Oryzias latipes: one gene and its partner. The protein of the gene in region 2 purifies or fractionates together with the protein of the main gene of each other region. This does not show direct contact. Links are inferred from orthologs where the notes say so. Each region holds a gene or a part of one and is shown on either strand. Other genes may lie near its edges. The genes, in order: nelfb and nelfa.

Region 1 (4,493 bases), on a different chromosome or scaffold from region 2:
GGCCCAAAGCGCTTTACAGTCACAGACCCTTTCACCCAGCCACACCGCCTTGGGCGTGCAAGGCGGGAATCGAACCTGCACATATGCGATCATGGGTCGACCGCCCTACCGCTGCACCACGGCCGTCCCACTGATATAGTTTGACCAATATTTTTTTTACACCAAAATTTTACCATGTAAATCACTGTATCCTTGGTACATGGCAGGCGTGTCCAAAGTCTGCCAAATGTGGCCCACTTTCAAATTTCCACCCGCCTTCATGGTCCTGCCATAAAATCATTAGACCTTCAGCACTTTCTAAGAAGTACAATTTCTTGAATTTGATTTGCTAAATTACGTTATTAGCCGTTTTAAACCTGTGGCAACAACCTGTAGCAACTTGACCTTTAGAGCCTCATGCGCCGAATAAGAGGAGTGGATTTATTGGTGTCGGTGATCAAAATCACAGTGGTTTGTAGTTCTGAATAAGATAACTATTTGTGTTTTTTCCCCTTTTCACATGATTTAAATTTAGAAGTTTACAGTGAGCATTTAAAGCTCAGGTAACTGCCTACTCAACCAAATGGTAGAGCATCTTTAGAACCCAATTAATGTGTTTCCACCAAGGCGAGAAGCAGCAGAAAAAAAAACATTTTTTAATTATTTTTTCTTGCTTGGTTAGTTAAAGCCCTGAGGACAGGACTGGGACATGGGAAACCAGGGGGCGCAATGAGCTTCATCCAGTGTGGGTCCTTAGCATAGACTATAAAAACAGTTTTTCACTTAGGTAAGACACTTGACGCTACTGCCTTCCTATATAGCTACAAGGGGGCCAATATCTCGGTCACCCTGCCCTGTGGCGGCCCACAGCCCAGTTAAAATACAGGGTTGTGTCAGGAAGAGCATCCGGCGTAAAAATTTCTGCAAAACTATATCTGCGGATGAGTGAAGGCTAATGTATTTAGATAAAGCTCTGGTCCATTTGAGGAAATGAAAAGTATTTAATTGCAAAAAAAAAATAAAAAATCACACAGTTCATTTCTATTTAACGTTATAATGTTTCAAAGAAGGCAGGCCAAATGCCCGCATTACATTTTTAAGCACACCAAATTTAACCCTCTTTGCAAAAATTCGAGACACCCCTGGAATATGGTGTACATTCTTTTTTGTTTGTTTGTTTGCTAACAAAATTCAAAATTACTCATTTTTTCCATTTGAAACATTCAAATCCAAAAATATGAAGCACCATGGCATTTTACAAATAGAAAACTAGAACAAAGTCTAAGCAGCAGTTGAAAACAATATAAAGTAATAAAACTAAGTAATATGTAATCAAAATAAATAAAACATTGACTTATAATGCCAAACTAAAAGAATTATTGCCTTTGTTTCTTTTAATTTTACTTGAACATGGTGTACGTGTGAATGCAGCCACAGCGGGAAACAAAGAGCGGAACGTTTCATAAGGTTCCGTGTTTCCGGCGGCCCTGTTACAGCGCTACAACATTCGTAGACAACCGTTCAGACTTTAGCTGTGCGTTTAATTTGGCACCAACAAAACTGTTGCAACTTAGCCAAAATAGACGAACCTGTTTTTAGCACAAATTGAATTTGTGGGGTTCGTATTGATTAAATTATAAGAATGTTCGCGGGGCTGTCTGAGCTCGGCATTTCAAACGGGGATGATCTGAAGGAAACACTCACCAACTGTACGGAGCCGCTGAAAGCCATCGACCAGTTTCAGGTAAACAACAACAACAACGAAAAAATAATAGCACAAGATAGAGAATAGACGGGTTCTCTATCTTGGCGGGACGACTGCACATTATGTTAGCTTGCATTGTTCTGCATTTTAAACATTTTTTGTGATTAGATAAGTTTTCATTTCTTCAGAGCAAAATATAGAACTAAAATGACTGAGTTTCATATTTGAAGACCAAAAATAAAATTATGAAAATGTCTGTCTGGAGAAAAACCTTTTTCTAAATCTAAATTAGACAAATATTTATTCTATTAAAAAAAAGCGAGTGTGGTTTTGATCAGAAAAACTAAAAAATCTGAAATTTGGCCCTTAAGTAAATGGCGTATACTTATATAGCGCCTTTCTTCCTACAAGGACAAAGCGCTTTACAGTCACAGACCCATTCACCCAGTCACACACACATTCACTCACACATTCACTCACACATTCACACACTGGTGGCGGCTCCAATGAGTTTTGGGTGTTTTTAACGTGTTCTTGTAGCATTTTTCTCATGATGGAGGACATAGAAGTGCATTTCAAGCACTGCTGGTGCAAAGCTATCAAGTTAGGTTTGGGTTTTCTCCAAATAAAATTAAAATCTTTTGACCGATTGAGGCCAGATTATTGTTCATTTGCATTTCTTTTGGTGGTTACAACAATCCCTCACCAGTTGTTGATGTCTCATGTCATCACAGATGGAAAATGGGATTCTGTTGCCAACACTCCAGTCTGCTCTTCCTTTCCTGGACCTCCACGGCACTCCGCGGTTAGAGTTCCATCAGTCTGTCTTTGACGAGCTCCGTGACAAGTTGATGGAGCGAGTTGCTGTTATTGCAGATGGCAAGGAGGAAGATCGGTACGTTTTCAAAAGAAACTAGCTTTTTGGTAGAAGCGAGGTAAATGGATGCTGAAGTGTTGTTGTACCTTTTTTCAGGTATGGAAAGCTGGAGGAATTGCTGGAGAAGAGCTTTCCGCTTGTGAAAATGCCGTCCATTCAGCCGGTGGTGATGCAGGTGCTGAAGCATCTGCCAAAGGTAAAATATTATGCTACAAGAGGAATATAAATATATCTATTATTTTCTTATCGAAACAAATTGGATACATGGACACTAATTATAGAAAAGCTTCATAAATGTAAGTTTTCTGTTTTTATTCTGGAGCATTTACAGCTACATTTGTCTCAATATTTTAAACTATGCAGATAATACTGGATATAGTTTGCTATGATGCATGCATTACAAAATAGTCTCTTTAAAAGGGCCCATCTAATGCTATTCTAAAGCCTTTCAAGTGAACTATTTCCATATATATGAAAATATATTACCTTTGGCCCATGAAAGAACAAACATTTATGAAATATTAGTCATTTTCACCGCTCCTTTTCCTACCCGGAAGAGAGAGGACTCGATCTCTGAGGCTCCGCCTTTTGCTCCTTGTGGGTGCCGCCCATTTCATGACGTCCGCCTAGATTTGGCGTCGGCAGTGTGTCTGAGTTTCATCCACGAAAATAAACAACATTCAAACTTTTTCAAAGATGGATGTGCACATTGTGCATTTAAAATGAAGCAGTTTTTGCCAAACATTGCTAGCTCCAAGGAGAGAGTGTGTGTGTTAGCCGAGGGGGGGCTGGCAGCACCGACTCTTCCTGGAAGGGGCTGTTCCTCACTTATTCTATGAATGCCAGAACCCACTTGTTTTCGTGGGTTTGGAGGGGCTGGTGCTCAGAGAGTGTGTTTTTAGAGGAATCCTCAGAAATGTGTGAATGGATCAAAATACTAAGTTGGGGTTTTTTTTTTTGTGAGGAATTAACATTATATTACACTTAAAAGCTCAAAAAGTTGATCTCTCATGATATAGGTCCTTTTAAAAAGGTGCACCCTGATTCTTGATCCTTGTCTTGTGTGCATTCAGTTGAAGTCTTCCATTTCCATGGTTCCCAGGGAATTTCTTTGTTTCCTTCATCTAATTTGATATCTTTGGAAAACCAAATGTTTTAGCAAAAGGCAAAAAAAGCTTTAGCTAATTATTGTTTTTTTCTGCTGTAGGTGCCAGAAAAGAAACTGAAGCTGGTTATGGCGGACAAAGAGCTGTACAAGGTGTGTGCGGTGGAGGTCAAAAGGCAGATTTGGCAGGACAACCAGGCTCTTTTTGGGGACGAGGTCTCCCCCCTTCTAAAGCAGTACATCGTGGAGAAAGAAGCAGCTCTCTTCAGCAGTGACCTCTCCATTCTGCACAATTTCTTCAGCCCTTCTCCCAAAACACGACGCCAAGGCGAGGTGAGGGATTATTGTTTTTTTTTCGGATGATGTCTCTCACAGTAGACATGCACCTTAAAGGCCCGTACACACCGGGACGAATTTCGCGCGCGATATTCGCCGACGTTTAACGCCTTGTGACTAAACAAAGGGCACCAATGTGAGTGTGCACACCGACGCGAAAAAACGCCAGGCGTAAAAGCGTCATTTTTTTAAAAGCGCCTCGGGTTCGTTTTTTTGGTCTGACGCGACGACAGATGAGAATGGCGCTTTTGCACACGTGTCTGGGGCTTCTGAAGTTACAGTAAAACACAACCTGGGGGCGCTCAAACACAAAACTGCCTTTCTGAGCACACATACCAGCAAAGAAGACAGACGGCAAGTAGCGTCTACACTGCCGCGGAGAAATAATGACAGACATTCTAAAATATTCCCGAAAACGCTCATGATACATTTTCAGCTCTTGTACCAGTCGATAAAACTCCCCATGTTCTTCTCTTCTCGTAACTATGGGA
Region 2 (4,604 bases):
GGGAAGCATGGCCGACGCCTCGCACTCGCTCACTGCGAAGACAAACAAATGAGCCACAGGACACACCAGCAACATCTGTTTGAGTCTGGGAATTCCCTTAGACCTCAAACTCGCTGATGCATGAAGATGGTGAACTGGGTTTCAAACCTTCCACCTCATGTTTGGCAGCAAACTCAAAACTTAATGATAGGAAAAGATTTTTAAAAAAAAAAAAAAAAAAAAACATTGAATTTCTTTGAAATACTTTGCTCCAAACTAATTTGATCCTACTTTTTACCTTTCAGGACCCACTCTGATCATCTTTGATCCGTTTTAAAAGAGTTCATAGTGGCCTTGTATTTATGATTATGTTGTTCCTAGCCAGGATCCCCTTCTCCTGCTGCTGAGTGAAGCAGGGAGCTTGTGACCCGTCCAATGTATTGTTTACATCACAAATACAATCTTTTCCCACCAGCATTTTTTCGTTTTCTCCTGATTCAAAACAATTTCATTAAAGAAATACTCAGAAATGGAATTTTAAGTTGAATTTTCTTTATATTTCCTCCATCACTAGATAAATGCCACAAGAACAAGTTCAAAACAGCAAAAACACAATTTTCATCAGAGTGAGTCTTTACATTTCAACCATGGATATGTTTCTAATTTTTATAACAACATTTTAACCTAATAACACCTGACACAAATAAATAACTGACAAAGTTTATTTCTATGTAACTTGACACTAATAATAATGTAAAAATATTTTTTGTTTAAATAATATATAAAACACCAGAAATCCCATTAAATTTGGGCAATAACAAAACAAACTATAAGATTAAACTAACAAACTAACAAACTGTTCTGTTATAAATTTGATCAACATATCTCAGTATCATATGTATCAAATATAACAAATGTATGCTTTTAAACACAAAGAGAAATAAAATATAAAATATAATAAGAGCGCAGAGGAATCTTTCTTGGTAGTATTTGAATTTCAAATGTTTGCAAACATGTAAACAAGGTTAAAGACTCCAGCATCCCAATAAAAGTCAGGATGGCAGATTTTACCAACCTTTCTCCCTGAGCTCTCCTAAAATATCCTGCACATTTGGATTCTGCTCCTCTAAATCCAGATTGAGAGATCCCGTCTCTGGGAAGGATTTTAGAATATCTGCAACCATCAACACCCATGGCTCTGAATCCACCGTAGCCAGCTGGATGATCTCAGACAAGGCCTCCTTCATCTGGGCAAAACACAGAAGAATGACATTTGATTATCAAATTTCTCAAAAGATATAATTATAAAGATTTTTTCCCCCCCATCAGACAACACATCAAAAGACCACACCCTCCATATTCAATCAAGACGACTTAGTAGGGATAAAAATAATATTTTTCAAAAGATATTTGACATAAAGTCAGTCATGTTTTCCGGTGTTTACTTCAGTAATTTCAGTCCAAGTCCAATCATCTTTTGACTTAATTTAAAAGGATTCCAAGTGGTCTTTTGATTACGATTATACCGCTTTTAGTACATATTTAAAAAACTGTAATTGTCTGAAGAGTGCCAGGAGAAATTCACTTCTAAATTGTGGGCGGGTCTGCTGGTGCAGAGTAACCCCGCCCTCTTCTTGTTTAGCTTAGTTTATTGTTCTTGAACAATTAAAACTTTACAAGGTTGACGAGCAGATAAAATGAAATACATGTTGGAATTTTCAAAAAAAATGATAATTCTGCAAAGAATTTGAGTTTGTATCCCTTCCGCTAAGATAAAAATATACAATCGAGAACAAAATATTTTTCTGCACCGTACGTACTTTTTTAGGAAGGTACAAAAATGTATGTCTTCTAAAAATAAATAAAATAAAACAAAAAAACGACAACTAATTAGGTTTTTATTCTAGGTCGTAAGTAAAGCGATGACTTGGATACGAAAATTATTACATAAAAGCACCAATTGCCTTTACTGGATTCCCCATCACTGAAGCTAAGTCAGAGTTTGGCTCCGGTGAGACTGAGAGGTCCTGACGGGCGGCAGCAGCATGAGCAGCAGAGCAGCATAGCAGAGCAGGTGATATGTCGGACTCAGTGTTGGTTCCGCCCTCCGACCCAGCTAACGCTCCAGCAGCGTCCGTCCCACCACAATGTCTGAACGCCCGCCACCAGGCAAATGCTACCCACTGCCGCTGGGGAGCCGAAGTTAGTGTGGCGTTCAAAACTTTAGCTATGGAGCAGCTTCTCCCGACCCCAATTCAATTTTAGACCACTGCTGACTTGAAGCGAAGGTAAAAACTCACCGAAGATCAATGTACTGAACGAACCTGCGGTTTCTTTTTAGTAGTTACTGAGTTAGCCATAATTAGCTACTACATCCAAATTTCTTTATGTTATGTGTTTTTCTTTTGACATGTCTCTGAGATGCTCTCTGAGTACCTGCGAGATTTTTTTCTGCAACTAGTTGTGAACTAAACTACAACCCTACCTGTGTGAATAATAGCAGAGACTTTTCAAGCTAACCTCTAGCAGCAGCAACCCACCTCGTCAACGGTCCGCCGGGGAAGATGCAGCATCCCCAGGAGCAGTTTTAGCTTTACCGGCGGCGACAGACTGGAAAAGCATAGCCGTATATTGTCGATTACTGACACTGTGAGCAGGGAAGCAATACTCGGAGGTGTCCACAGCTCGTCTGTTGATCCTAGTTTGTTGTGAAGCCACAGGCCAGTGTCGCTGTCCTTCATCGACGCCATCTTGGAAAAAGAAGTGTTTTGAGTTCGGGCATTTTAGCAGGCTACCTAAGAAAACAGCTCGTAGGACCCCGCCCACAAGTGGGTGGTTACGTGTAACAGCTATGTTGATAACTAATGATCACCACATTAAATATTTTTCTATAAAATTGGCATCTCCGCCTTCTTTTCTGTCATTTCCAATGTACCCATACACTGTATAAAATGTTTACATTAAAAAAGTCTCATGTTTCCCTTTTTATTAACACAAAACAAGTCTATTTGCTTCTTTACTGGTTATACGTTTCTTGGTGTGGACAAATAAAAAAAAAAAAAAACTAAATATGTGTCGTTTATTCTGAAAAGCTTGAGGGAAATTCCGGTTTCATTACCAAAGCATAGCAAATTTTAGCCTGGCCAGACGCATGCGCACTTGGTGAATGTTCCTCAACCAGCGCTCGTTTGTCCTCACTGTGATTTCCAAACACCAGTAGCTGGTTGACTGCAGGTAAATAACACTGAGGTAATAATAATCTTTAGGTGACTTGTAAAAACGTGCCTGTTAAGATGGGGTGGGGGGGGGGGGGGGGGGAATTAACAACCTAACCATTACATATTTTGCTAATTAGTTTCCGGACGGCCTTGTAGATTTTTTATTTAAAAAAATGTTTCTTGCCTATCTTGATTCAGGGACCCGACGGCGTCATCAATGGCTTCCCGTGGCTATGCGCAAGCAGCCTTGGTTCTTCTGGCCGTGCAGCTCTTTTGCCTCGGTACCGCCGATGCAGATCAGGAGACGGGGACCGTTATCCCAGCCGAAAGTAGGTAACATTAGCCTATGGGGGTTCTTTCTTTTTATTACTTGAGATGGAATCGGTAATCTGTCAATGAAAACATTATGTTTGCTTATATATGGGTTTCATCCCCCAATGGGACCACACAGGCCTCTATTGTGTGTGTGTACATACATACATACATACATACATACATACATATATATACGTGTGTGTGTGTGGGTGTGTGTGTGTGGGGGTGTGTGTGTGTGTGTGTGTGTGTGTGTGTGTGTGTGTGTGTGTGTGCCTAAAGCCTAAAAAGATCAGTGTTTTTGGGGGGATGGGGGGTCCGACCTCCCTGCTGTGTGTTATTTCTTAGCTGTTGTGCTTTCAGGTCGCCCGTGTGTGGACTGTCATGCCTTTGAGTTCATGCAGAGAGCGCTTCAGGATCTAAAGAAGACAGCTTTCAACCTGGATGCCAGGGTCTGTGACTCCCCAGATTTCTAGAGCTTTGAGTACTAAATCCATAGTCTTAAGGCCCGTACACACCGGGACTAATATTCGCCAGGCGTTATTCGCCAGCATTTTTCGCCACGTTTTTTGTGTTCACACCCAGGCGATTTTCGCTGACGATGAGCCGAGCGAACATGCAATTTCATTCCCTGACATTAGATGGCGCTTAATGTAAACAGAAATACTCCTGTACACAAGGTGGCGCTGCGCAACTTTAGGCTTCTTAAAGTCGCTTTTCCCTCAGAAGAAGAGAGCAAGTATTTACGCGCTAGTCAGAATAATAAAAAGAAAACATGAATATTTCAAGCACCAGTAGCTCCAACTGGTGCTTCGTTCTGGGATATTTAAGAATGTCCGTCATTATTTCTTCGCGGCAGTGTAGACGCTACTTGACGTCTATCTTCTTCGCTGGTATGTGTGCTCAGCAAGGCAGTTTTGTGTTTGAGCGCCCCCAAGTTGTGTTTTACTGTAACTTCAGAAGCTCCAGACACGTGTGCAAAAGCGGCATTCTCATTGGTCGAATAGATTTCGACGCGACCCGTCGAAAAAAAAAAACGAACCCGAGGCGTTTTTTTTTTTTTGACGCTTTGGCGCGTGGCGTTTTTTCGCGTCG

Evidence for each region.
Region 1: the proteins of nelfa (region 2) and nelfb purify together in Homo sapiens (affinity purification with mass spectrometry; 8 studies listed by BioGRID and IntAct, counting the BioPlex papers as one, with this or other methods). This does not show direct contact. The link is inferred for Oryzias latipes from reciprocal best matches to the Homo sapiens genes NELFA and NELFB.

The regions. Positions count from the first base shown.
Region 1 is NC_019871.2:30,111,511-30,116,003, reverse strand, and holds the start of nelfb (negative elongation factor B), read left to right. Parts: upstream 1-1,461; 5' UTR 1,462-1,621; coding exon 1,622-1,723; intron 1,724-2,418; coding exon 2,419-2,579; intron 2,580-2,657; coding exon 2,658-2,757; intron 2,758-3,768; coding exon 3,769-3,999; intron 4,000-4,493. UniProt on the Homo sapiens protein: Essential component of the NELF complex, a complex that negatively regulates the elongation of transcription by RNA polymerase II.
Region 2 is NC_019876.2:18,438,180-18,442,783, reverse strand, and holds the start of nelfa (negative elongation factor A), read right to left. Parts: upstream 2,981-4,604; 5' UTR 2,730-2,980; coding exon 2,520-2,729; intron 2,268-2,519; exon of another isoform or gene 2,110-2,267; intron 1,227-2,109; coding exon 1,055-1,226; intron 33-1,054; coding exon 1-32. Other genes in the region: c18h4orf48 (neuropeptide-like protein C4orf48 homolog), read left to right, coding at 3,415-3,526, 3,873-3,961. UniProt on the Homo sapiens protein: Essential component of the NELF complex, a complex that negatively regulates the elongation of transcription by RNA polymerase II.